Canis lupus familiaris: one gene and its partners. The protein of the gene in region 4 interacts with the protein of the main gene of each other region in a pairwise test. Links are inferred from orthologs where the notes say so. Each region holds a gene or a part of one and is shown on either strand. Other genes may lie near its edges.

Region 1 (4,206 bases), on a different chromosome or scaffold from region 4:
GTGCCTAATAGGGCTCAAATTTGTGCTGACTTAAATTTCCATCAGTACGAATAAGATTTAATAGGTTATATGTGAGAACACAAATAACTGTAAACATGGATCACATTCAATGAATACTAAATTGAGAAAACCTCCCTGATGGTTGAAAATGGTGATATCTTACTTCTTTTCTTGCTGTAAATAAAATATCAATGTTTTAGCCTTAACCCCATGGTCTCTCTCAAAGGCTAGCCCTTCTAGTCTCCAAGAAATGCTAGGAAACCCTGAGTGGGACATAGTTGAGGCCTGGACACCATCTTTACTCCCCTGCCTGATCCTTGGGCTTGCAGCTCAATGATATGAAAATCTCCCTACAATAATCCCGAACTCCTGCCCTACCCTTTGCATCCCAACCAAGCAAATTATTTAAAAATTAAAAGTGAAATTTATACACATCTCCTTCTTTCTAAGCAGGGTGGCTTAACATTATTATAAACATCTTTTTCCTCACAAAGCTTACTTTCTCGTGTGTGCAGAAGGAAGCAATAGATAAATACGAAAGTAACAGTGAAAATATATAGCATGCCAGCTAGCAGTGTCTGAGGCTAGTGGCAGCAACTGTATTTAGAAGGGTTTCACTGCAAAGGTAACATCTGAGCAACAATCTGAAGGAAGCAAGAGAGTGAGCCGTTGGAAGATAGGGTTTTGGGTAAGACTGTCCCAGGCTGAAGGAACATCAAACGCAAAGGTCCGGGGCCCGAAGCTGTCTGATGTTCTTTGAGGGACAGTGTAGCTGGGGAGGAAATGAGGTCCATGAGGCCAAATGTGAACAGGTCAAGCAGGTCCTGGTGGACCATTCTAGGGACTCTCTAAGAAATGTGGGGGACGATTGGAGGGTTTTGAGCAGAGAAGTGGCATACCTAAACCTAAACGTTGTTAAAGGACCCTTCTTGAAGCTAGCTTTGGTGGGGGCACCGTCCAAAGAGACAAGAAAGGTAAGTCTGGTGGTAACAGGTGCCTCAAAGCTTGCAAAGACGACTACTGAAAGGGGGAAAGGGTTGACTCCTGGACAAAATGCCTGTGTGGTGGTTGGGAGGATGGGGTTACCCTGGGTTACGCATCTGCCTAGCTTTCAGGCCTAGACGCAGAGACCTCTGGTCCCGCTACTTCAGCCGCAGGTCCCTAGCTCCAGGGGCGGTCAGGACCCGCAGCTTTGTTGCCGTGGCGACCACAGGATTCGACCCCCACCCCGCCGCCCCCGCGCCACACCACTCCCGGGTCTCCTGGGGCAAAACACCCGGTCCTGCATCTGCTCCAGCGAGGACTCATCAGTATTCCACCCGCGGAGTTCTCCCCGCCCCCGCCGCGAATCCCAGAGCCCGCCAATCCCGCAGCTCCAGCCTTGGCTGTTCTGAGCCTCCCCACCGCCCCCACTTGGTCTCCGAGGACCGCAGCCGGATCTGCCCCGGAGCTCTCCTGGCAGCCCCCCCCGCGCGGCGCGCCTCTGCCCAGTTACGCAGCGCTTTCGGGCTCGTTGGCGGCGGCCGCAGGCTGCGCCTCCGCGGCAGAGAGGGCACCCGGGAGACCCGTTCTAAGGCGTCCCCGCAACAACTCTCCGGGGATATTCAACTCCCCTGCGCTCGGTTTCAGGTCCTCCTGCGCTTCTGCAGTGCACCAGACGGGGGAAGCAGATACAGGAGAACCTGCATTGCGCCCCCGCTGGGATGCACGGTGCGCAGAAAGGGGACCTTCTGCTGCAAAGCCGGAGGATCGGGGGCGCGGGGAGTCAGGGGTGGGTTTTCGTAGGACTCACCTTGTGCAGTTTCCACATGGCCCCCAGAGCTTTGACTTCGTGGCTGGAATGTTTGCCCTCCTCCAAGCACTGGTAACACACGGGCATCTTGCACTGCACGCAGTACATGCTGTGATTCTCCAGCTCGTGGTCTGTGCAGGTGGAGACCTTGCGCGGGCTCAGCCGCCGGCTCACGCGGCCCTGGGCCGGGGGCACCAGACGGTGTTTGGCTAGGGGCCCTCGGGGAGGGTGGCAGCGCAGGCGGCACGGATCACAGTAGAAGACATCGCACTGTTCGCACATGACAGTGGCCTCCTTGGGCGCCTTCTCGCAGAGCTGGCACTTGAGGGCTGCGGCTTTGCTCTGCTGGTAGCGGTCAATTACCCCTTCCAGGACGCGGTTCTTGGGGAAGCCGCGGAGCCCCCGGTCATCCAGTATGAGGCTGCGGTGGCACTGGGGGCAGGTGATACAGGAGTTGCGGGGCACCGGGGCCAAGGCCGGTGACAGGTGGGTGGCCGGTGGCGGCATAGCCGGGGGGAACACGCGGACGCCATTGGGGGACTTCTGGCACGGAGTAGTGGGGGCACTGGCGAAACCCCCGTAGGAGCCATAGCCGCTGTCCGCCTCGCTGTACAGGCTCATCTTGTCCAGGTCCAGATAGTCATAGTCGGAGACCCCGGAGCCCGAGGCCCTGCGGCTCTGGGGGGATTCAGACTCCGGGGTCTGCACCAGGATGTTGCGGGCGCACGCTTGACATAAATTGTGAGAGCAGGGCAAGATGATGGGCTCCCGATAGAAGGAGCCGCACACGGGGCATTTTAACTCTTCTTCCATCTCTTCCATGAGGACCGGGCTGGGAGCGAAGCAGCGGCGGCTGCAACGGTGCCTGAGCGGGCGAGGCGGCCGACCGGCCTGTCGTCTCCAGCACCTTGGCCAGCGGCGGCGGCGGCGGCGGCGGCGGCGGCGGCGGCGGCGGCGGCTGCGCCTTCCCGCGTCGATCAGGCGCCGATCCCCGCCAGGCGCTCTCCCCGCGAGCCGCTCTCTCTCTCTCAGCCGCGGACCCGCGACGCGGCGCGCCAGCCGCGGACCGCCCCCCTCTGGTCCCGCCCTGCCCCGTAAGCCGCGGCCCATTGGCTGGCGGCGAGAGGGCGAGGCTCTGATTGGCCGCGCGCCCCGTCCCTCTCCTCTCTTCCGCAGGCCACGGGGGCTTTGGTAGCCGACGCTAAGGAGGAGCGTCTCCGCTCCCGGCTGCAGGATCTCGGGAGGGGGCGGCGTGCGGAGGCGAGGGACCGGGAAGGAGGAATTAGGCGGGATGACTCATCCCTCGCCCCGCTTCCTTCCGACCTCCGGCGCCGTCTCCCAAGAGCAGGGGGCGTGAGAAAGCCCTCCCCGCAGCGAGCAGGCCCACGGAGGGGGCCGGGGCTGCTCGCCAACCGTCTGCGTTTGGCTTCCAGCCCTGGTCCCCGCGCCGACCTGTACCGCGGGCGAGGGCCGCGCGCCCGCCAGACCCCTCCTTCCCTTCCGCTGCCCGCAGCCTGCCTGGGCCCGAGCCTCCCCCGGGCCCGGGGTTTTGTACCGCCCGGCCCCGGCGCTCCCCATCCCGGGAGCCTGCAGCCCCGGGCGGAAAAGCCCCCAGGAAGGGCCTCTTTGCTCCTTTCACCCTCACTGCCTGAGGTCTAAGAGGGGAATTAAGAATACCGATTTCTTAGTGTTGCCATGAGATTGCAGCTAGGTGACCGATGTAAATAAAGGCTCAGTATGGTAGCTAAAAAAAAAATCTCTAACTCTTCATTTCCCGCTTAAAAATCAGGCTCGGCCCAGAGGCTTCTCCGGGCGTGGTGTGAACCTAACGGTGTGAACGTGCCTGTCTCCCCTCTTCACCCTCCCTGCCTCCCAAAGCGGTGCTGTCACGGGGCTCTCGCACCTGGCCGAGCTTTCGCAAGGTTTGAGGCAGGTCAGGCAGGGTTGCCTATTGCTCAGCGCCTACAGTTCAGTAACTAGCTGCAGACGAATCACTGTGTCACTGCGGAGTCTCAGTGTTTGAATCCAAACAGCATTATACAGTGTCACGTGGCCTGAGCATTTATCACAGCTTCAGAATGGTGGGTTCTTTCTGTTTCCTCCTTTGAAGTGCACGGGGGTCCTCGTGGAGGGGTGCAAGTAGGGGGATGGGGGCTAGATCTAGGGGTAGTCCTCATATATTAAGCACCCTTCTCCCTATCCCCAAATATTGATGGAGATATCTGGTCCTGCCTCTCGCCCACAGAACTGTTCATTTGATGATGGAGGAGGAAGAGGAACTCCCCTCGCCCCTCCAAAAAAAAAAAAAAAAAAAAAAAGAAAAAGAAAAAGAAAAATCTTTGAGTCAAGTGACAGTGACATTCTGAGATAGCAGCCTATTTGAAAGAGTACGTGGCTGCCTTTTGCTGAGTGAT
Region 2 (3,500 bases), on a different chromosome or scaffold from region 4:
GGAGACTGTGATGCTGGTCACTCAGTCACTTGCAGGGGTTTCTGAATGCCAATTTCTCTGAGCCTCAGTTTCCTTAACTGTAGAAGGAACAGGAAGTTCCTTTAAGGAAGTTATACTTCCTAGTCTGGTTGATTCGCATAACTTTGGTAGGGAGCAAATGAAATTAATGTAGATGATGCCCATATTCTGAGTACCAATGTGCTGTGCAATAGAGAAATAATAACTAACATCTTCAGCACACTTATGTGTGCTAGGCCCTGTTGTAGGCTGTCTACCTCTAGTGACTCATTTAGTTAAGTCTCACCCTGCGAGAGAGGTACTGGTAATGTCTCCATTTTACTGAGAAGCAAGCTGAGGCACAGAGAGGTTAAGTAATTTGTGGAGGTGAACAGGCAGCAATGGCACAGCCAGGGCTTAAGCCAGGCAATGAGGTGCCAGAGTCTGCTCTCAACTGCTATACAATCCTGCCTGAGAGCTATCAGCATTTTTTATTGTTTCTATTCCTTTTGCAGAGCTCGAGGGGGACATAGTCCCTGGTTTGTTGAGCACATCAAGCAGGGCCTCCCGTGGTCCACTGTGAGAGATGAACTGATGGCCATAAATTGTGCCCCAGCTGGCTCTCCATGGTCCAGAGACGTGCTGGGACACGGAGAGCTCAGATAATGAAAACTCACATATTGTTCAATAAGGAGCTAGAATAAGCGATCGGATCTTGTTTTGAGGAGTGTGCTGGCATTTGCCTCCCAATTGTTTGCTTTCAGGCCCACTCTGGGATAAAAGTGCTGCGGTGCCTAAGAGCCCAATAGGCAAGATGCCAGAGGGTTCAGAAGGAGCCGGCGAGGTTGTAACTCCAGTGGGCATGTTGACATGCTGGCATAACTCACAGCAACGCCAGCTGCTCTGCTAAACAGAAGAGCGGAGACGCTGTGTTTCTTCTGTGCATTCCAGGCAAACACTTGGAGAAGATCGTCAGAATCTTCGTCCCGGGTTGGCCCCGTGACCACTGAGCCAGCATCTCCCTTTGACAGATACACAGAGCGGCGACCTCTAAACCTAAGATGCTCTCCAAATGCAGTTCCAGCTGAGCCAGTGAGCTTTGCGTGTTGATGGTGCTGTTTTCTCTTTTCCTCCTAGGCAGCCAGGATTGCATACCACCTGCAGCGTCTTTTCGGAGGAGGCGGCTGGCACGGAGGCCGGGCTACATGAGAAGTGCAGCTGGGCCCCGGATCGGGTTCCTCTACCCAGCAGTGGCCGCTCCGTTCCAGGCCCAGGGAGGGGCGTGCGGTGAGGAGTCCCACCAGTCTGAGTCCAGGGCCGGACGGTGTGGCCTTGATTCTGGAGGCCAGTGGCGAGGCCCCTCGGTTGGGAGCCCTGTTCCTAGGAGCACAGCAGCCTCGGCTCCGACCTCTGGGGGCTACCTAGGCCTGGCTCTGACCCCTGTGAGAAGGCCCTCGGGGCTCTTTGGGATTCAGCTCAGAGCTGGCACCAAGCCACCTGCCAGGCCAGCCAGGTCGTGTGGCCCTGGGGACACTGGGTGGCAGGGGGAGCTCCCATCCATGGACAGTTCTGAGGCTCCAGGTCCTGGCCGGGATGCTGCTGGAGGCGGTACCTGGACAAAAGGCTGTCTGTCTCCAGAGGAGGCAAGTGGCAGCAGCTACAGCCTTGGAAGTGTCCCCAAGGCCCCCCCAACCCCTGCTGGCTCTCAGGATGCCTTTACGTCAAGCTTTAGCTTCATACGGCTCTCACTTGGCTCTGCTGGGGAACGTGGAGAAGCTGAAGGCTGCCTGCCATCCAGAGAGGCTGAGACCCCTTGTCAGAGCCCCAAGGAGGCGGAAGTGAAGGCTGCCAGCATGGACAGGCCCCACGAACATCCTCGACTCTTCTCTCCCCACTTCACTCTCAAGACTATTCCCAGCCTGGCGGACTCTGCCCAGACCACAGGGGGCAGCCACAGGCCGGAGTGTGACATGCTTTCTTTGTTGGACACGGACACTGCCTCCTCCTGCTCCCCAGGCCCCTGGCGGTCTGAGGGCAGCAGCCTGGGGGAGGCTCACCTTTGGGAGACGCTGCTCAGGAGGTGCGAGCCTGTGCTGCTGGACTGCCTGCTGAGCGACCGGAGGCAGCTGGAGGTTGGTGTCTCCCAGCCTCTGGGGGCCCGCGAGTGTCACGAGCTCAGGCCAGCTTTGGGCAGAAGGCAGGAAATGAGTAGTTCTGGGGTTGACCACCGACTTCCCTCTGGGAGCTGCAGCAGCTCCTTTTGTAACTGACGGCAAAAAGATGTTGCCGTAGTTCTGTTTCTTCTCTTTCTGTTTGCACACAAATCTGTTCTTGTTCTTGTCTTCTCTGTCACTTGAATGCTCAGATTTGCTCTGTGTTGAGCAGCAGGTTCCTCTGCAGTTCCTGGCCTACGTGATGTGTGGTTAGCTCTGCCCAGCTCTGCTTTGAAACAGGGAATTGGGGGCAGAGGCAGGGGAGCTGGGGCTGGCTGGCCTGTGGTTGAGTGGTGTGAAGATGGAGATTGACGCACCATATTGGGGGTGAGGCTGAGCTTCATTTGCATTTCCTGCAGCCCTTGCATTTCATCCTGCTCAGTGGGCCCTGCCTGACGCAGCCAGGAGACTTTGCTCCTGGTCATTACTTTGGTCAGGCTCTCAGTTTCCTTATTTAAAGATGGTAACCTTGCATGGGATTTTCTGTGGCTGCAGTGAGAAGCTAAGGGCTTTTGGAAGCTAGGGGGGGCTGTATACATGCAAACTCTGGCATCATGAGTGTGTTGTGCACCCTGTTATCAGAGAGGTGGTTACAACTGTGAATAGGCAGGGTTGTTCTACCTCCAAAAAATCCGAAGAGAAACCCAGCCTGAGATGCTTTGTGGCTGACCCATTGGGCTATGTGACTGCATTTTCCTTCTGTGTGCATATGATGTGTGTGTATGTGTGCTGACATTTGTACACATCCACAAGGAAGTAGAACAGCTACTCATCAGGCATTTGGTGGAAATACCTGAAAATGTGAAGGTCATGTTCATTCCAGCAATTGCATCTCATTTACTTTCAAATCTTTATGTGTGGCCTGATGTTCCTGGCCCTGTCCCTGTTTGCCCTGTGCCAGCCCTTGGGGACCCCAGCCATATGATTTATATCTCAAGGAGATTGTGAAGCCAGGCTGGATATGCAGACAGGGCTCTGTTCCCAGGTGATGCACAGAACCCTCTAGTTAGATGTGTTCAAAATTGATGTCATTGTCTTCCCCAGCAAACCTGTTCTAAAGGGCCCTAGTCTTGGTACATATATTTGTTGATTTTAATTAAGAGCATCCGTTCAGTTTTTTAGAGAAATTGCAAGCATCTTCAACACCTCTCTCATCCTCATAGTCCTGCAGCTAACCTCCCTCTCACAGCCGCAGCCTCTGCCCTGGTTCAAGTCCTTGTTATTTTTAACGTGGGTTTTGTAAGAGATTCTTGACATATTTGCCTTTCTCAGTGTCTCTTTTCCAGTTCA
Region 3 (3,500 bases), on a different chromosome or scaffold from region 4:
CTTGGAGTTGTGGGATGCAGCTGTGTGTAGGGCTCCTCAGTCAGCAGGAAGTCTGCTGGAGATTCTCTCTGTCCCTCTTCCCTTGCCTACCCAAATAAATAAATAAATAGTTTCTTTTTTTTTTTTTCTTTTTAAATTTTTTTTATTTAAAGATTTTATTTATTTATGGGAGACACACACAGAGAGAGAGAGAGAGAGGCAGAGACACAGGCAGAGTGAGAAGTAGGCTCCATCCAGGGAGCCCGACGCGGGACTTGATCCCGGGTCTCCAGGATCAGGCCCTGGGCTGAAGGCGGCGCTAAACCACTGAGCCACCCGGACTGCCCTGTTTCTTTTTTTTAAAGTTGCATTATAAATGGTGACAAGAGAAGAGGCTTCTATCTAAAAGAGTAATTCTTTAGAAAGGTATAGTTTGTCATATTTAATATTATGTTAAAAACTAACATTTTTCATAAAGTTTCATATTACATGAAACCATAAAATGATGTAGATATTCTTTATAGTAAGTTTGACAGTGTTCTATTTTTAAAATATTTATATTCAGAAAAAAAAGTATAGTAAATCATTTATTTGTGTATCTAAAACTTAGTTTAAGATTCCGTAAGTCATGGGGCACCTGGGTGGCTCCATGGTTGGGCATCTGCCTTTGGCTTAGGTCATGATCCCAGAGTCCCAGGATCGAGTTCCACATCGAACTCCCCGGAGGGAGCCTGCTTCTCCCTCTGCCTGTGTCTCTGCCTCTTTCTGTGTCTCTCCTGAATAAGTAAAATCTTAAAAAAAAAAAAAAAAAAAAAAAAAAAGATTCCATAAGTCAATATAGCAAAATAAATTAGGTCTTGGTCCATGACTTTTGAAACAGTCATTTTTATAATGACATGCAGAATTGTTTCATCAGAGTTCAGGAACACTCAACAATAATGAATATCGAAGTTCTTCAGAGGAGAAGCTATTTGGTTACTGTTAAAGAGGACATTTTAATTTCACTATAAGTTTATATTATCCTTGGGTAAAATAGTTTCTCTATACTTTTGTCATGACCTAGGGCACAGTGTGGTGGGAAGAATCATTCTCTTCATTAGTAGATATTAAACTGTTTTCCCTGTTTTAGCAGGTATTTAAGGTATTAATATTAAACATCTGATGTAAAATCTGTACATTTTTAAAAATTTTGTTTACTTTGTCATTCTACAGGCAGTAGGATATAGTTGTATGCCCAATAATAAAGATGAAGATGGGCTACTGGTTTTAGTTTTCAACAAAAAAGAAACAGATATTCGAAGCCAGCAACCGCAGTTGGTAGAATCATTGCATAAAGTTTTGGGAGGAAACCAGACACTTACTGTAAATGTAGAGGGTATTAAAACATTGCCAGATGATCAGTAAGTATACGTTAAATATATTTATTTCTGTGTGCCTTGGTCCAAAGAGAGTGATCCAACAGCATTTTTGTTGATAAAGCACAAATTAAATCTTAAAGCAGAATGTTATCACTCAACTAGTGATTATTCAGTATTTATAGCAACATTTGTTTAAAAGCTTCTTTTCTTAATCTTGGAGTTCATTTTTTTTTCTTGAATTTTTTTGTTTTTTAGAGGTGGGAAAGGCAGAGGGAGAGAGAATCTTGCAGGCTCCACGCCAAGTGTGGAGGCCAGATGCGGGGCTTGATCTCACATCCCTTATATCTTGACCTGAGCTGAATTCAAGAGTCAGACATTTAACTGGCTGAGCCACTAAGGCGCCCCTTAATCTTGGAGTTCTTAATTTATCAGATGCTAATAATTCTTTAGATTTTTCATTCAGAAACAGGAAGAAACAGTAATCATGGCTGTGTATACAAATCAAAGGCCACAAAGATGTTACTGGAAAGTTTTAACTGATGACTGTTTATGCTCCTTAGTGAGATATAATATGTGAGATAAGCTTCAATAGGATCTCCAAAGTACTTCTCAATTCTGGAAAAGATAGTAATGTTTACATAGGACTTTGCAGCTAAGCAAACCTTTTACAAATATTAAAATGTCTGTCTCATTTTAATTTTATTGTTATCATTTAAGTTGATTTGTAAGTGAACATAATATTAAATAAGTAAAGGTTCCTCATTTTCCAAGATTTAAGAAAATACTCTTTTAATTCTCTTCTAAAATGACGATTTCTGAATTCAGCTAGCACCTTTCTGAAATCACAGCTGCACTGTTACTGAGTTGTATCTGTGAGTTGTGTGCTATTTTATAACTTGTTTATTTTTCCCCCAGGACAGAAGTTGTCATTTACGTTGTTGAACGCTCTCCAAATGGTACTTCAAGAAGAGTTCCAGCTACAACACTATATGCCCATTTTGAACAAACTAATATAAAAACACAGTTGCAGCAACTTGGTATAACCCTTTCTATGACTAGAACTGAACTTTCTCCTGCACAAATCAAACAACTTTTACAGAACCCTCCTGCTGGTAAGTTTTTAGTCACAGAGTTGAAATGAAATATTTAGAAATATATAAGCTTCCTCTATTTTGGAATGTATTAGTTGATTATTAATAAAACCAGTGTTTATTATGTCTGCTAATTTGGGACAAAGTTTTAAATGTTTTTATCGTATGTATTCATTTAGCTTTTTTATTATATAGCTAATATGTTTGTTAGAAATTTTGGAAAATAAACAAAGAAAAATGGTCCATAATCCATCTACCCAAAGATAATTCACTTTTAATATTTTTATTTGTTTCTAACTTATCTCTTGTTCTGAGTATTCAAGTAAAATCTAAAAAATGTGTTCTTACAAGGGGTACCTGGGTGGCTTAGCAGTTGAGCATCTGCCTTTGGCTCAGGGCGTGATCCCAGGGTCCTGGGATCGAGTTCTGCATCGGGCTCTCCGCAGGGAGCCTGCTTCTCCCCTCTCTCTGTGTCTGCCTCTTTCTCTGTGTCTCTCATGAACAGATAAATAAAATCTTTAAAAAAAAAAGTGTTCTCATTGAAAAGGATTATAGATGGCATAACTAGATGGACTGTATTACAGACCCTTTATCTCCTTTGCACAGAAATAGCTACTACTAATGATTGTACTCTATTAGTCCTTTATTTTTTTTATTATTTTTTTAAAAGATTTTGTTTATTTATTCATAGACACACAGAGAGAGAGAGAGAGGCAGAGACACAGGGAGAGGGGGAAGCAGGCTCCATGCAGGGAGCCCGATGTGGGACTTGATCCCGAGTCTCCAGGATCACACCCAACGCTGCAGGCGGCGCCAAACCGCTGCGCCACCAGGGCTGCCCTCTATTAGTCCCTTATCTGTGATTTTAATATAACATATATATATATGGAAATCCTTTTAAAAAAAGGATTCTGCACTGTACATCAATTGCAACTTGCCTTTTCAGCTATAGTATTTCTTAGTACTTCCTTTTTTTTTTAAATTTCTTTTTATTGGAGTTCAGTTTGCCAACATATAGCATAACACCCAGTGCTCATCCCATCAAGTGCCCTGCTCAGTGACCATCACCCAC
Region 4 (3,500 bases):
TTCTTTTCATTCCTGGTCCAAGTTTTTTCCTCATACCCAGTTACCTGCCTTCTTTTTTTTTTTTAGTTACCTGCCTTCTTAGTGTGGCTTAGTGGTTTATATTTTCTTTTGTAATTAATATTGGATATTTGTTACAAGTTATCATGTTGCTTCCCAGTTTTATTTTGGATTTGACAGCTTCCATATTTCAGGAAATTTAGAATCAATAGTCAGAATCACTTAGAAAACAATGATAAGGGGATGGTGGTTTGTTCCTGTTTTGCCTGGAAAAAAACATACAGTAATTGCAAATGAAAAAGAAAAGAAAGAAGACAAAAGAAGGAGCTATCTTATGGATATATAGTCTGTGCTCATGTGGTCATGGCTCTTCCACATCCTGTAAGTACCAATTGTACTACAGTTATGAATTAGTTCAGTGTATCCTTCAAAGACTGGTATATCACTGCTACCCTCTTGACTAAGGTATTACACAGGTGATTATGCTTTTTTTTAAGCCTTTTACAAAAACGTAAGTATAGAAAATTTTTATAGCTGGTAGAATTGGAGGTGTCAGAAATGGTAATATGTCAACACCAGTGATACAATGTGGGGCAGAACCCTACTTGTACAATCTGGGGAAATATAAAATACTAAGAAATGGTCCCTAACCTTGATAGAGAGGCAAGTGTATCTTCTTGAAACACTGTGTAAAAAGGGAACATAAAGATAGAGTGATACACTAAAATAAATATGTAGATGCATATCAATCTTTGTTACTCACCTGTCAAAGGGATTTAGCAATATTTCATCTTATGCTTCTTTTATACATTTAAATAATATGAAGAGTTACTCTTGTTTTTCACTTTGTAGGCCAACATCCAATCAATCATGGCCTCTGAAAAGCAAGTGAACATTCTGATGAAGTTGCTGGATGAGGCTCTAAAGGAGGTAGATCAGATTGAGTTGAAACTGAGCAGTTATGAGGAAATGCTCCAAAGTGTAAAGGAACAAATGGATCAGATCTCTGAAAGCAACCACCTAATTCATCTTAGTAACACTAATAATGTAAAACTCCTCTCTGAAATAGAGTTTCTCGTGGTGAGTATTTTGTAAATTGCCACCTCCAACAAAAACCAAAAAAATCTAATAATATATAAAACCCTATTGTAAACATTTATCAATTTCCTTATGAGAGTAAGATTTAAAATAATTCCAAAGACCTTATGATAGGCTTGAGTAGCATGTTACTTGTAAATTTCCTGAAATCACATGTGCAAATGGTATATTTATATATATTCTAGAACCACATGGACCTGGCCAAAGGTCATATAAAGGCCCTTCAGGAAGGAGATCTTGCTTCTTCTAGAGGCATTGAAGCCTGTACCAATGCCGCTGATGCCCTTCTGCAGTGCATGAATGTAGCTCTTCGTCCAGGTATGTTCATTAGAAATGATAAAATCTGACCAAGGATCTGAGACTAAGCCTGTAATTTGCTATAAAGCTTTTAACAAGAAATAACGTGGGGCAAGTGGTTTAAGGTGACTGTAGTATTAGGTCCTCAAACTAGTTTCACTTCTTTCCGAACATGCTTCTTTTGGCACTAAGAACTTTTTCATTTCAGTTCCTATGACTGATCATCAGTGACTCTAGTTAACACCATGATTTTTCTTTAGTACTATGCACAGACCTTGCACAAAGTCAGTGTTTTGATTAGACCAGAGAGCTGAGGTTCTGTTAGGTCAGTCATTCCAAAAACTTGAGTTTGCTCAGAATCATGGAGAGGGTTTGTTAAAACACATATTGCTGAGCCTCACCTCCAGATTCAGTAGGTCTGGGCCAAAGCTCTAGTATCCACATTTCCAACAGTTTCCAGATAATGCTGAGGCAGGACCACACTTTGAGAACCATTGTGTTCTACCATTTTCTTCTCTTGCTTACCTTTTTTATAAAGCAAATGAATAAATCAATAAAACTTTGGGTTCTTCAAAACTGAATGAAATATGGATACTATTATAAATGTATTCATTGAAGATCAGAGAAATCCTTTTACCTATTAAATCAGTCAAGAAACGTTCTGGTTTCAGGCCATGACATGCTGCTGGCAGTCAAACAGCAGCAGCAGCGTTTCAGTGATTTGCGTGAGCAGTTTGCCCGGAGACTGGCCAGTCACCTCAACAATGTTTTTGTTCAGCAGGTAATTTTATTTCATTAATAAAAGTGGCATGTTTCTGTAGCTTTTTTATATATTACTTTAAACTTAAATTTCCACAAAAATTGTAATGTGTTTAATTGGGACCACAGTATATTCCTTCACACATTTATCCAGTTTTGAGATTTTTAAGTATTTACTCATAGATGTGTGTTGGCCCTCAACTGCTTCCTTAGTTAGGCAGTCTAGTTCCTTGCAGCTAAAACTGTCTGATTCTAGAAATCAAATAAATCAAATAATTATGCTTACTTATTAAATATACCATTTATATGTTCTTTATTTATAAAAGTACATCCAAACTTGTTACATATTTGCTACTTGGCCTATTTTATTTTTCAATATTTCGAGATGAGAACCAGAACTTGATTCAATATTTTAAATGTTTCATTGGCTGTATGTATTTTCATATGAGAAAAATAAGTATCACTCAGTTGTTAAGTTCTATTTGATTTAATTTTATATAAACCCTTTGTCTACATTTTTATATGGAAAAGGAGGTTGATAGCTTAGGTTGTGGCAATAATATTAATAATATTAAGAGTACTTTAGCAGGACTTGAATAGAAGGTATTTTAATCTGGCATAAGGATTAGGTTTCTTATGCTTTTCATCTCTTATTAAGGTTATTGAACAAAAAAAACTGCGAAATTTCGTTCATCAAGAAATGCTGTCTGAAACATTGAATTCTTATTTTGTTTTCGCTTTGCAGTATTCTAAAACAATTGTATTTACTATATTTTATTTCCAATTAGTTTACTCAGGCCCTCCTTCAACTCTATAACAGGTCCTACTTTCTTTCGGTGCCTGTGAGTACATCAAATTTGGCTCAAGCTTCTCTGATTTTTTTTTTTTTTTTTTTTTTTGGTCTATAAAGTTTGCTAAACTTAACAGCAGCAGAATCTTTATAGATTATAACTTTACTGACTTAAGCTGCCTGTTAACCATATTTATAGCAGTTTTTTAATGTCCCATAGCAAAAAGGTTATTTTGGCCAAAAAGGCATTTCATGTCCTCTGCTTGCCTCTCTCTTCCTGTCGTTCTTTCACTCACTCCTTCATTTATTTAGAAACATTTTACCACGTGATTGGGATGCATACCACCCATTTTCTTAGGCTAGGTGAGGAGCTGATCCTGTCCTCCAGTGCCTCACAGTCTAGGAGAGGGAGGTAGATATACTTAGGAAGGGTAAATATTATCATAGTGGTCACATGCGCGAACATAAAGGAAGACCATCTTAGCTGAGGGTGTGAGGGAGACACTGGGGAAGACTCTCTTTACGTTTCACTTGACCTGAAAAATATCAAGAAAAAAGT
Region 5 (4,122 bases), on a different chromosome or scaffold from region 4:
CCATTTATATGAAGTTCAAAAACAAGCAAGATTACTCCATGATGACAGACATTAAAACAGGGCTCACTTTTCTGTAGGTTAATGACTAGGAGGCAGCACAAAGGAGCCTGCAGGGATGCTAGAGATGGCCTGTATTTTGATCTGTGTAATGATTACACAGGTATATACATATGTAAATATTCTTCAAATGATAGATTTGTGAACTTTTTTAAAGATTTTATTTATTTGAGAGAGAAAGAGAGAGTGAGAGCACAAGTAGGGGGAGCAGCAGAGGGAGAAGCAGGCTCCTCATTGATCAGGGAGTCTGATGTGGGGCTTGATCCCAGGACCATGACCTGAGCCAAAGGCAGATGCTGAATCGACGGAGCCACCCAGGCACCCCTAGAGTTGTGTATTTTATTTTATTTATTTAAGATTTTATTTATTTATTCATGACAGAGAGAGAGAGAGAGGCAGAGACACAGGCAGAGGGAAAAGCAGGCTCCATGCAGGGAGCCCGACACGGGACTCGATCCTGGGTCTCCAGGATCACACACCCCAGGCCAAAGGAGGCGCTAAAGGAGGCGCTAAACCGCTGAGCCACGCAGGCTGCCAGAGAGTTGTGTATTTTAAAGTTACAGTCAATAAAAAAGGGGAAAAAATTTCATATTGTTTTGAGTATCTATCATCTCATTAGCTTGAGGATGATACAAAAACACACATTTGTTACTTTTACCTCCTGAGATGCGGTAGAGTAACTTTTCTCTTGCATATAACTTTCTTAATTGTTAAACTTATTTGGAAATAATTTCAGACTTAGAATTCCCACATACTCTCCCTAGCTTCTCTAGACGACAATCACAGCACAATGATCAAAACCAAGAAATGGACACGAGCTCAATAGTTTAACTAATCTACAGACCTTATTCAGATTTTAAGTATCCCACTAACACCCATTTTCTGAACTAAGATCCATCCAAGGACAATCCATTGCTTTCCACTGCTGTATTACTCTGGGTCTTCCAAGAAGCAGAAGACAAGATAGGATTAAGCCTACAAAAATTTTATTAAGAGAAAGGTCTGTGTGAGGGAAAATGGGAGGGAATAAACGCTGGAAGCTTTTCAGATTTCCATGCAAATCTGACACTGAATGAATGTCAGTGTCATTCAGTCACTGAATGTCAATGTCAGGGAAGGTTGGGTAGATGACTGCCATGCAGTCTAAAGAAGATTCGGTAAGATGGCGGAGTTCTTAAAGGAAAGTCCCTTGCTTCTCAGGAAGAGGTCCGCCTCAGTGCCCATGCCATTCTCAGTCATTGGCCAGAAACAGCCTTTGGGAAGCATCCATGCAAATGGGTTTCAGAATATACAGAAGCTGAGGTCTGTGAATTACATTCTCATGGTTGTTGAAATTGTCACCCAGTTATTTTGTAGAATGTCCCTCCACTGGGATTTGCTTAATCTTTTCACATGGTTAGACTAAGATTACACATTTTTGGCAAAAACACCACAGAAGTGAAGATGTGATGATGCACCCTTTCTCGGCACATTAAATTATGTTAAGGTGTCTTACTACACTGGTGATGTTTATTTTGAACCGTGGTTAAGTGGTGTCCACAGTTCTCTCCACTTTTATAAGTACCCAGAGAGACAGTTGAGGCTATATATAAATATCATGTTTCTGATTATACCTTTGCTCCTTCGTATCCACTGAGGGTTGTCTGAAGCATTAACTACAGCGTTTACCAAAAAGCATTTTCTTAAAAAAAAAAAAAAAAGCATTTTCTATTTCCATTATCCCTTTTACATTTATCAACTGGAATCCTACTGTTAGGGAAGCATTTCCCCGGCTCCTCTCTTATTTGTTAAATCATTTTAAGTTCCGTGTATTAATATTATCCAATAACAGAGAATACTAACTTATCTTTCAAGATTTTTTGTCCTGAGGATTAAATGGCACTTGGCATTTCGTAACCACAAAATACTAAGAAGATGTGTGTTCAAGACTCATCATGACCACCGACAAGCAGGAAGACACTGGAGAAGTCTCAAATTACTATGGCCTCATTTTCTTAAACTACATAATGGGAATCATAACACCGTCCCCAACAGGTTGTCCTGATGATCACGTGGCTTAATGTGAAACTGCCAAATACTCAGAGTGTACCCCGATGTTTTAAAAGCTCAGTTTGCGGCAGGGCTAACTACCGGACAAATTAAAGGTGAGAGACAGCAAAAAAAGAGCACGCTCTCTGCAAGAAACAATTCCAGGCAGTGCTCTCCAAGGGCTCCCAGCTTTCAGGCCACGTCTGCGGGGGTCCCGGGGGAAGGGCAGGCAGGAAGCATCGAGAAGCGCCTGCGGCCGAGCTCCCTCCGAGGCCCGCGGGGCCGCCCCGGGTCAGGAAGCGCGAGGGCCTCGCGCGACCCCCACCCCCGCCCCGGGAGGGCGCGGACGGCCACACGCGCCTGCGCCCGGGAGCAGCCCCTCGCAGCAAGCGGCCGGTGTGCGTCCGCGCTCGCCTCCCCTCCCCGCACGCTTCCCCGACCGCAGCCCGCCGGGGCCGGCCGGGGCCTCAGAACCGCGGGCCTCTCGGCACCGCTGCCTGAGGAGCACAGCCCCAGCTCCTGGCTCCGGGGACCTGTGCACGCCCCGGCGCTGGCAGCCGGCGTCCGCCACTCACCCGAGTACCAAGGGCCGGGAGTCAGGAACCGCAGCTCACACGGAGAAGGCCCCTGCGCCCGCGGCCCTGCAGCTCCCCAACCGCCGTCTGTGCGCCTGCGGGGCAGCCATCGCCGAGCGCCCGTCACTTCCGCCATTCAAACGGCCCGCCAATGGCGGGGCCGAGCCGCGGGCATCGGCCTGGTCCCGCCTCCCGCGAGGGCCGCCGGGAAGGCCGCGCCGGGGGGGGGGAGGGGGGAACCCGCGCATGCGCCAACCCCTACGTGCGGGCCCATTATTCCTCGCAGCTCCCCGGCTGGGCTCTCAGGTGTGCTGCGGTGCTGCCTGCCGTGCCTCAGCTGTGCTCCGTTACGGATCGGGAGACGAGGTCCAGAAAGGGGGGATATTGGCCCAGAGCGTTGGCGACGCCTTTGATTTTAAGCCCTATTAGGAAGATGCCTCGGCATGTGTATCCCTTTGTGCACCGACTCTACAGTTCATTCGGGGCCGTTATCCTGTACTTAGTGTCCCATGGCCCTCAGGAAGGGTCCAGCTCGCACACCGGTGAATCAGATCGTGGCACTCTGTGCCTCCGGAGAGCCAGTACATCTAGAACATGTCCCAGGTTTACTTGCTACAAATAACCTGGCATCAGAAGGGGATGAGTGCAAGTTCATATTTATTGAACAATTATCATGTGCCAAGCACGGTGTGGGAAGTGCAGGGGAGACGAGGGTAAATGGACTATCCAAGCCCTATCGTAGATTTTGTAGCCTGGAGGTAAAACATAACAAAAAGAAAAAAAATTAGAATATGGGGAGTAGGGAAGACAGAAGTTGCTGACATGATCAGATTTGGCTTCGTGGTGGAGAAGAGGCCAGAGAGGGTGAAGGCTGAACACTCAAGGCAGGGAAACCAATTAGGAACTACTACAGGAAGTAAAAGGTGATCGCAACGAGAAATGGAGACAAGTGGGTATATTTAAGAGGCAAAGAAGGCCAAACATCAGAAATTGGTGGTTACCTGGTTATGGAAAGCAAAGGAGAGGGAGAGATCAACCATGACGCCTAAGTTTTATGTTTGGCCGCTGAGTGGATGGGGGTAACGTCCTGCTAGAACTCAGGAAGAGGAGCAGGTTCAAGGGGGGAAGTAATGAGTCAAGCTTTGAATATTTGGAATTTGAGCTATTTATGGGACATCTAGACAAAGGAATTGTAGAATATTTAGGGGGCAAAATTAGTAGTGCTGGCTAAAGATTGCATGTGAAGTTGAAGGAAAAGTTGAGAGTGAAGGTAACTTCATAGGCCACCAACAATGTTAATGGTGGTGCCATCAACCAAGGGAGAAATCAGAAGTCAGTGAAGTGGGCAAGGTGATGAGCTCAGCTCTGGACGTGTTGAATTTTTCTTGCATTGTGTGATTGCAATAAGTGGATGACTACAATGGTAGACAGCCCACAGAATCGTGCTAGCATTTAGACTTGG
Region 6 (4,028 bases), on a different chromosome or scaffold from region 4:
GGAAGGAGACCAGTCCTTTTCTGTTTTCCCTGGGGGCGGTGAGAGCAATGTTTATTGGGGAGGAACAGGGCGAAGCAGCAGATGGGGCTTTCCTGGTAACTTTCGGGGGAGGGAGTGGGGTGCGGAGAGGGGAGGCGGCTGCACTCCTCGGCCCCCGCCCCAAGCTCTCCTCCCGCCGGGTCTCTGCGGGGCGCCCCCCCGCCCCCCCGCAGGCCCCTCCCCGGAGCGCTCTAATTCCTCGCCCGCGGTCGCCGGCCAAGCGTCCCCGACCACGCCGCCTCTCTGCACGTCTTCCTCCGCGTGCCGGGATCCGGGAATCCGCTGGGCTTCGGTTCGCCCCCGCCCGGGAGCAGCCCGTGTCGCCTCCGTCCTCCCGGGACCCTCCGCCGCCTTCCCCCGTGGCAGCCCCCGCCCCAGCCCTCGGCGCGCCGGCGGGCTCTCGCGCCGTCCCCCCGCTCCGTCCCCCGCGGCCCCGCCGGCCCCTTGGGTCTCCGTCGGAGCGGCCGCTCGGGGCGCGCGGTGGTGCCGGCGGGACGGGTCAGAGGTCGCCTGTGGGGCTCAGTGGGCGCCGGGCTCTCTGTCACCGACGCGTCGTTTTCTGCTCGCTCTTCCGCTCTCTCCGCCTTCCCAACCGGCTGTCAGTTTGAATTGCCGGCGCCGCGCACCGATTGGGAGAACTAGAGCTCGCCCGCGTCCCGCATTGGCCGGCTCGGGAGGCTGCAGAGATCTTAGTGGCTCGGAGACCGTAGGCCCCGCCTCCGCAACGGTGCCGAGACCAGCGCGGCTTCTGGTTGGCCGAGCTTGGCTCCGCCTCTGCGCTCATTGGGCGGCGGCCAGGCTGGGCCCGCCCTCCTGCCGCCCCCGTGGAAGCGGCGAGGCCCGCCCTTCGCGCCTCTTATTGGGAGGCTTCCCACAGGGCCCGCCGGCCTCTGCTCTCCATTAGCTGCAATTCTCCGCAACGCCCCTCCTCCCTGCCCCGGTCCAATTGGTCGTGCTTTCCCTCAAGAGCGTGTGCTTGGCTGTTGGTTCCCTTTTAATCCCGCCCATTAATTCTACCTCGGGGCTCGGCGGCTCTGGGAGGAGCTTACCCTGTGACCACGCCTCCGCGGGGCTAGTCCCGCCTCCAGGTTTCGCCAGCTCCTCCCCCCATTCCCGTCCTCGCGGGATCGGCCATTCCTATTGGCTCCCGGGTCCATCGGTCGATAGAAAGTGGGCGTTGATTGGTAAGGGGGCGGGCTCCGCTTCCCGGCGGGGTCCTGCGGAGTTGGCGGAGGCTCCTCTGGGGACGAGGGGACCGATCTGCGTAGAAGCGGGTGGCGGGGAAGAGGGGAGGAGATCTCCGAGTGGGAAGCGGAGCCGGGGCCCGAGACCCGTCGCGTCAGAGCCAGGTAAAGGCTCCTTGCCTCTCCCCTCGCCTCCTGCGGCCGCGGGGCTGGAGCCCTGACTGGACGAACCCGGGCAGGGGCGGGAAGGACGGGGCGCGGATGCTGCTTGCGGCGTCGCCCAGCGGTGCCGCCCGGAACCCCTCTGACCCCCCCCCCCCGACCCTCTCCGGAGCTCCCAGGACAGCCCGTGATGCTGTCGCCGCACAGCGGGGCTCTGCCCTGGGACCGTGCCTCCGCGCAGCCCGCACCCGGCCCGCTCCCCAGCCCTCCGCGCGCGGGCAGCCTCGGCCACTGCTGGGCAGCCGTCGCCGGCGTCACCCGTAGCCATCGGCTGCCCGCTCGCCAGCCGCCTTACAGCCGGGACCCAGCCCCCGGCCCGCCTGGGACGGCTCCTTTCACGCGCTCGCGCTCGCAGACCCGTCGCGGGGCCCCCGCGCTGCCCGCACTCCCGCCCCTGTAACGCCGCGGCCCCCCGTCCCGCGCTCCCCCCCGCCCCGGCCGCCCAGGCCGCCCTCCCTGCGCCCTCTCTCCACCCGCAGGCGCGCGCCGAAGCTCCCGTTATCCCCGGCTCCGGTGCAGCCGCTGGACCCCACCTCACACCCCTCCCCGCTTCCTGCCGGCCTGAACCAGCACGCCGCCCGGGCTCCCTCCTCCTCCCCGCGCGGGAAGTGGGAGCCCCGGCCCCGGCGGGAGCCCCCCCGCCCCCCGCCCCCCGCCGAGGAGAGGGTAAGGGGCGACCCAGGAGGGAGGGGCGCCTCCGCGGCACGGTGGGGAGCCTGACGGCCGACTGCGCTCCCGCCGCTTCCCTCCCGCCTCCCGGGCCTGGGCCAGGGCGGGATTTCCTCCGGCACCTCCTGGTGCGAGGAGTCGGGACTGCGACCCTCCCAACACCCCCCCCCCCCCAGCCTGGGTCTGGGTGCGGTATTCGGGTTGGCCGGGCACAGTGACAAAAAAATATTGGGGGTGGCATTTAAGAGTCGCTCTGGTCCCTGGCTGGGGGGAGGCGGTGGCTGCCTCCCGTCCCCCGCCTCCGGGTTTTCCCGACTCCGACCCTAGCCTCTAACCCGTTTCCTGCTTCTGTCGACCACATTGTTTTCCTGGATGTGCCCCGTGCCGAGCAGGCTTTTTCCTGCAGGTCTCCTCCCCCCCCCCCCCCCCCCCGCCCCAAACATTTTGCTGCCAAGAGAAGCTAGTAACCAAAAACAAAACAACTGGGAGGAGGGGCGGGAGGGGAAGAAAAGTTGTGCCCGGGTGGCTTGTCCCTCCCTGGCTTTGATCCCTTTTGATGTCCTGGGAGTTGCCCCAGCCCGGGGTCAGGGGCCGCGTCGGAGCCACTGCGGAGGGTGCTCCCCGCGGCTGGCCGCTCCCCAGCGCTGGCGGGGCTCGGAGGCCGCCGAGGTGCCGCAGTCCCCGCCCGGAGCCCCGCGTTCCCGCCGCAGTCCCCACCCGAAGCCCGCGCAGGCGGCTGCTCCAAAGTGTTTTCTTCCAGCCCTAAAACAAAATCCGGAGGGAGCTTCCTTCCTCCGCACCTCGCCGCGCCGGGCTCTGTGGGCCGGGCGGTGTTTGGCCGAGATGAATGGGCCAAGGCCCGGCTCGGAACGACGTCCCCTACCCCACCCCCGCCGCGCTTAGGATCTGCGCTGGGGCTCATCGCCCCCTCCCCTTTTCCCTGCATTTACAGGCAAGTGAACCGGAGCAAACGACTTCCGATCCAGTCTGCGCTGCTGCGGCTCCCGTTTGGGATTTGATTTGCAGCATCTTCGAGCCTGTGCAACAAAAACCCGCGAAGCACGCCCAGCCCTCCCCCGGCACCCTTTTACGCACCCACTCCCTCCCGGGGACACAGCTGGGCGCGTCCACACCCCCGCACCCCCCACACCATGTTGTGCGGAAGGACTTCCACTCCCTGCCTCAGTCGTTGATGTCAGACCCCGGGCCAGCCTCCGGGCGCTGCAGTTCTCCCGGCTAATGCTGAGGCTGCGGCTCCGGCTCTAGCACAGAAACCAGCTGCCGCCGCGCCCGGCCCCAGCGTCCACCGTCTGCATGTGCCCGCCGTAGCCTTCAGCCCAGCCCGCAGCCCGCGCTCCCCGGAGCGCTGGAGACCACCGCGGGGGGCCCCTTCTGCCCTTGGGAGAAGCGGTCTTGGAGGTATTGATTTCGGTGGTTGGATTTTTCCCGTGGATCTATCAATTCATAATTTGAATTTGGAAGAAAGAAGGAAAACATGACGTCTCCAGCCAAATTCAAAAAGGATAAGGAGATCATAGCAGAGTACGATACTCAGGTCAAAGGTAAGGGCTTTGAAAAATTGCATGATGCATATGCTCTGTGGACCATTGAGGCATGTATTTCCACCCTGATTTGCAGGATGTTCATTTCTCTGGGTGGAGCAGGTGGGGGCAGGCTGAGCCCAGAGGTGGTTTCATAGGTGGGTTTGAGCCTCCAAGGGATGGGCTGTGCCAGGGGCCACCGGCTCTGGAAAGGAATTTTTAGAGTGGGCTGTAGGTTTGTTCTTGTAAGGGCTGGCCCTGATTTTGGCAGCCCTCTCCCACAAGCTAGATAGGGTGGGGGGAGGGGCGGGAGGTTCTTGGGGGAGAGAAAGGTGGCAGTTTGCCTCTGGGTGTCTGGGTCAGGTTTCCTTGA
Region 7 (3,500 bases), on a different chromosome or scaffold from region 4:
AAGCTCTAGAACCGTATTTTCAAGCTCTTTTTTAAGTTTGGCTTCCTGATCCAGTAATTTCTTCTTTAACGTTTCTTGCATCTCTTTTGCTTTCTGCTTAATTTTTTCCATCTTTTTTTCTTGATTTTTAAATTTGGTTTCGTATTCCTCATGTAAAACACTAAAACTGTCCTCCTTGGCTGATAATTTTTGTCTAAGTGTTTCAATTTCTTTGCTCTGTCCTTCTCTCATTTGTAAAATTACATTTTCCTTTTCTATCAAACTCTGTTTTGTCTGTGCCTGTTCTGTGCTAGTATCTTTAAGCTGGGACTCATAACATTGGGTTAAAGACTGTAGTTTTTCCTCCATTTCATTTTTCTGTCTTTCAAGTTGCTGCATTAAATCCTGCAACTGGATTTTTTGAGTGTCTAACTCAGTACAAACATCTTTCTTTTGCATTTCAACTTCAGCTACCTGTTTAGTAAGAAGAATTCTTTCTGCTTCCAAGTCCAACAACTTCTGCTGCAATTGTGCCAAGTGCTCCTCTGATGCTTTGGCCTGCTCATGTGTAGTACTCTGCTGTGACTCAAAGAGAGCCAACTTAGCAGATGCCTGCTGGAGTTCCTCTTCAGACCTTCTAATATCTGCCTCTAAGTTTTCCACACGTACCTGATGCTCTTTCAAATGCTTGTCCTTTTCCTTCAGAAGAAGCCCAAGGTGATTAATTTCATCTTTTAGTGCCTCTTCAGTTCTCTGGATGGACAGCTCTTGTTCTTTAATGATACTGTCAACTTGCTGCTGGTGATGGCTTTTCTGTTCATCTAGCTTGGCCTCTAGCTCCTGTTTTACTTTATCTGCTTGATTCTTTAGTACAGAAAGCTCCTCTTCTAGCTTGTCCCGGGCCTTTAGTACCTCTGACAGTTCAGAAGACAATGATTCCAGTTCTGTTTGCTTCACATCAAGCTTTTCTAAAGTCTTTTCATTCATCTCTTCTATGTGGGCCTGGAAGACACTCTCTTTGTCTTTCAACAATGTTTCTTTTTCTTGTTCATGCTTTTCTCTAAGTCTTTCCATTTCAGTCTGATGCTGTTGCGTTAAGACTTGGAGTTTTTCAGTCCAAAGGGTATCCTGCTGATGCTGCAAGCTTTCTAATTCTGTTTTGTGTTTTTCAACCATGATTGTAATTTCTTTATTGTGCTTATTTTTTTCAGCTTCCAAATGAATAATTAAATCCTCAGATTGATTTTTGCTTTCTTGCAAGCTTTTTTCCAAAGAACTTTCCAATTCAAGAATTCTCTGTTAATAAAAACAGATGTATTTTTTACTAAAGTACAGATTTGTTTATTAGCAATGATATATATGACAACACATGTAATGATATATATGACTACACCTATAATAACTACACCTGTTTAAAGATTAAAACTTAGAAAAATAAGGCATTATATCATGCCAAACACTAGAAAGCACAATCTGTGCTCAATTCCTAAAGGAATCACATAACAAAGAAAAGATTCTATTTTAACACAACTTAAAATTTCAGATTCTTTCTACCTATACTTTAACTATTTCAGTCACCCATGTTTTCAAGAATATTCTGAATGGATAGTTAAAAAGAAATACATCGTAAAGTAGATAATAGTAACTATGGATAGTAAGATGGTTATTTTTTTTCTGTGTGTTTTTTAAGGCCTAGAATATATTCTATTACCTTCATAATTTAATTTTGGAAGGTAAATAATATATCTGGGTTTTCCACTGCAAAATGATTATTTAGGAGATATCTTTTGCAAAAAGAAGCTACTTACACAAATTTTAGCAAAGATTACTGTTAGCTCATGAAAAAGTCAATCTTGACTCTAAAGCAAAAAGAGCTAAGTAAGGCAGAGGCATGCAACATCAAAACTGAAAAGGTCCTAAGGAATTACCAAAACCAATTTCTCCATATGAAGGTGAACAAATTAAGGTATAATTAATTTACAGGGCAGCCTGGGTGGCTCAGAAGTTTAGTGCCGCCTTCAGCACAGGGCCTGATCCTAGAGACCCGGGATCGAGTCCCATGTCGGGCTCCCTGTGTGGAGCCTGCTTCTCCCTCTGCCTGTGTTTCTGCCTCTCTCTCTCTCTCTCTCTCTCTCTGTGTGTGTCAAATAAATAAATAAATGGATGGATGGATAAAGAAATAATCTTTAAAAAAAAAAAAAAGAATAGGTATCACCATCCCCCAACCCCCACTTAAAAAAAATTAATTTACAAAGCTAGCAAATGGAAAAATCTAGACCTCCTGAGTATCCATTCCCCTCCATCATGCCACATTACATAAATGTCGGCAATGGGAAAATAAAGTACAGTTTAGAATTATGGGGAAAAAGTGTGATTCTTTCACTGTTTAAACCAAAGCAAAAAGTCTAAATAACATCAGTCAATTTATTCAAAACAGGTCATACATTTCATATACTGCTGAGGGGAGGGCCTAAAAATGTGTACCCTGAGACATATATATAAATTTGTTCACTATAGGATATGTTATTAACATGGGAAAATTGGGGGAAACTTTATGTTAAAAGCAGGGCATTGGGGTGCCTACATTGTGATAGAAACAGAGAATGAATCATGTCCATGGCATGAGATGAAGCCAGGGCAAATGCTGCCTACAAAGCGAGGCCATTTCCTACAGATCAAGGGCAAGTAAACAATGGAGTGGGGATGCAAAGCCCAAATGCAAAGATAGTGAATGGCAATAGAAACACCTCCAGCAAAAAAAAAAAAAAAGAAACACAGCCAGCTAAAGGCAGAGTCAGCAGCATCATGTAGCAAACACTAAAACCACTCACAGAAAAAGCTCTTATTATCTAAAAATGAAGTGCATGTATGTAAATCTAACCCAGTAAAACAAAAGCTTCTTGACAACTTTATATTGATTGGAAAGATAACAATAGTTTCTATACAAATAATTCCACAACTCTGGAACCTGAATATTATTTAAACTTACAGTTCTGTAAGTCTCTGCTTCTTGCTGAAGGTCCCGAAGTTTATTTTCACTCTCCATGAGGATTGCTTTCTTCTGCAACTCTAACTCTTCCAGGGCCAAAGATTCTTGCTGTTCTTTTTCTTGGGTGATCTTCAAATATTCTGATTGACTTTTTTCCTGTGCCAAAAAAAAAAATACCACCTTAGACCCACATAAATCTTCAGCATTCTCAAAGTACTTCCACAGGAATCAGGTCTTTCATTTGATCTGCACACCAGCTCTATGAGGTAGGCAGTATCATCATTTCTCTCTTCCCAGGCTCTAGTGTGCAGAAACAAAGCACTGTGGCTTTTCCAGTGTGATCTAGCCAATATTTGCCACAATTACTACTGATAAGAAAAATTTTGTTCTAGTAACCCCACTACATCTGCTATTTTTCCACTACTTAAAATGTTTTGCAAAACACGCTTAATGTGAAGGCTCCCAAAATTGTCACTGCTACTTCTCTCCACTCCAGAGTTTGATTATTTCAACTCTAAGCCAAGAAACTAGA

What was found.
Region 1: the proteins of EXOC1 (region 4) and TRIM9 interact in a two-hybrid assay, tested with the Homo sapiens proteins (2 studies listed by BioGRID and IntAct). The link is inferred for Canis lupus familiaris from reciprocal best matches to the Homo sapiens genes EXOC1 and TRIM9.
Region 2: the proteins of EXOC1 (region 4) and DISC1 interact in a two-hybrid assay, tested with the Homo sapiens proteins (2 studies listed by BioGRID and IntAct). The link is inferred for Canis lupus familiaris from reciprocal best matches to the Homo sapiens genes EXOC1 and DISC1.
Region 3: the proteins of EXOC1 (region 4) and NUP54 interact in binary tests that used the Homo sapiens proteins (3 or more experiments, as listed by UniProt). The link is inferred for Canis lupus familiaris from reciprocal best matches to the Homo sapiens genes EXOC1 and NUP54.
Region 5: the proteins of EXOC1 (region 4) and CEP295 interact in a two-hybrid assay, tested with the Homo sapiens proteins (2 studies listed by BioGRID and IntAct). The link is inferred for Canis lupus familiaris from reciprocal best matches to the Homo sapiens genes EXOC1 and CEP295.
Region 6: the proteins of EXOC1 (region 4) and SRGAP2 interact in a two-hybrid assay, tested with the Homo sapiens proteins (2 studies listed by BioGRID and IntAct). The link is inferred for Canis lupus familiaris from reciprocal best matches to the Homo sapiens genes EXOC1 and SRGAP2.
Region 7: the proteins of EXOC1 (region 4) and GOLGA4 interact in binary tests that used the Homo sapiens proteins (3 or more experiments, as listed by UniProt). The link is inferred for Canis lupus familiaris from reciprocal best matches to the Homo sapiens genes EXOC1 and GOLGA4.

The regions. Positions count from the first base shown.
Region 1 is NC_049229.1:27,693,587-27,697,792, forward strand, and holds the start of TRIM9 (E3 ubiquitin-protein ligase TRIM9), read right to left. Parts: upstream 2,801-4,206; 5' UTR 2,615-2,800; coding exon 1,793-2,614; intron 1-1,792. UniProt on the Homo sapiens protein: E3 ubiquitin-protein ligase which ubiquitinates itself in cooperation with an E2 enzyme UBE2D2/UBC4 and serves as a targeting signal for proteasomal degradation.
Region 2 is NC_049225.1:8,197,899-8,201,398, reverse strand, and holds part of DISC1 (disrupted in schizophrenia 1 protein), read left to right. Parts: intron 1-1,134; coding exon 1,135-2,129; intron 2,130-3,500. UniProt on the Homo sapiens protein: Involved in the regulation of multiple aspects of embryonic and adult neurogenesis. Required for neural progenitor proliferation in the ventrical/subventrical zone during embryonic brain development and in the adult dentate gyrus of the hippocampus.
Region 3 is NC_049253.1:39,421,719-39,425,218, forward strand, and holds part of NUP54 (nucleoporin p54), read left to right. Parts: intron 1-1,191; coding exon 1,192-1,379; intron 1,380-2,252; coding exon 2,253-2,449; intron 2,450-3,500. UniProt on the Homo sapiens protein: Component of the nuclear pore complex, a complex required for the trafficking across the nuclear membrane.
Region 4 is NC_049234.1:48,896,399-48,899,898, forward strand, and holds part of EXOC1 (exocyst complex component 1), read left to right. Parts: intron 1-849; coding exon 850-1,077; intron 1,078-1,280; coding exon 1,281-1,413; intron 1,414-2,063; coding exon 2,064-2,173; intron 2,174-2,939; coding exon 2,940-2,993; intron 2,994-3,500.
Region 5 is NC_049242.1:7,153,158-7,157,279, forward strand, and holds the start of CEP295 (centrosomal protein of 295 kDa), read right to left. Parts: upstream 2,801-4,122; 5' UTR 2,797-2,800; coding exon 2,661-2,796; intron 1-2,660. UniProt on the Homo sapiens protein: Centriole-enriched microtubule-binding protein involved in centriole biogenesis.
Region 6 is NC_049259.1:3,089,612-3,093,639, forward strand, and holds the start of SRGAP2 (SLIT-ROBO Rho GTPase-activating protein 2), read left to right. Parts: upstream 1-1,228; 5' UTR 1,229-1,388; intron 1,389-3,066; 5' UTR 3,067-3,609; coding exon 3,610-3,676; intron 3,677-4,028. UniProt on the Homo sapiens protein: Postsynaptic RAC1 GTPase activating protein (GAP) that plays a key role in neuronal morphogenesis and migration mainly during development of the cerebral cortex. Regulates excitatory and inhibitory synapse maturation and density in cortical pyramidal neurons.
Region 7 is NC_049244.1:7,424,008-7,427,507, reverse strand, and holds part of GOLGA4 (golgin subfamily A member 4), read right to left. Parts: intron 3,125-3,500; coding exon 2,969-3,124; intron 1,276-2,968; coding exon 1-1,275. UniProt on the Homo sapiens protein: Involved in vesicular trafficking at the Golgi apparatus level. May play a role in delivery of transport vesicles containing GPI-linked proteins from the trans-Golgi network through its interaction with MACF1. Involved in endosome-to-Golgi trafficking.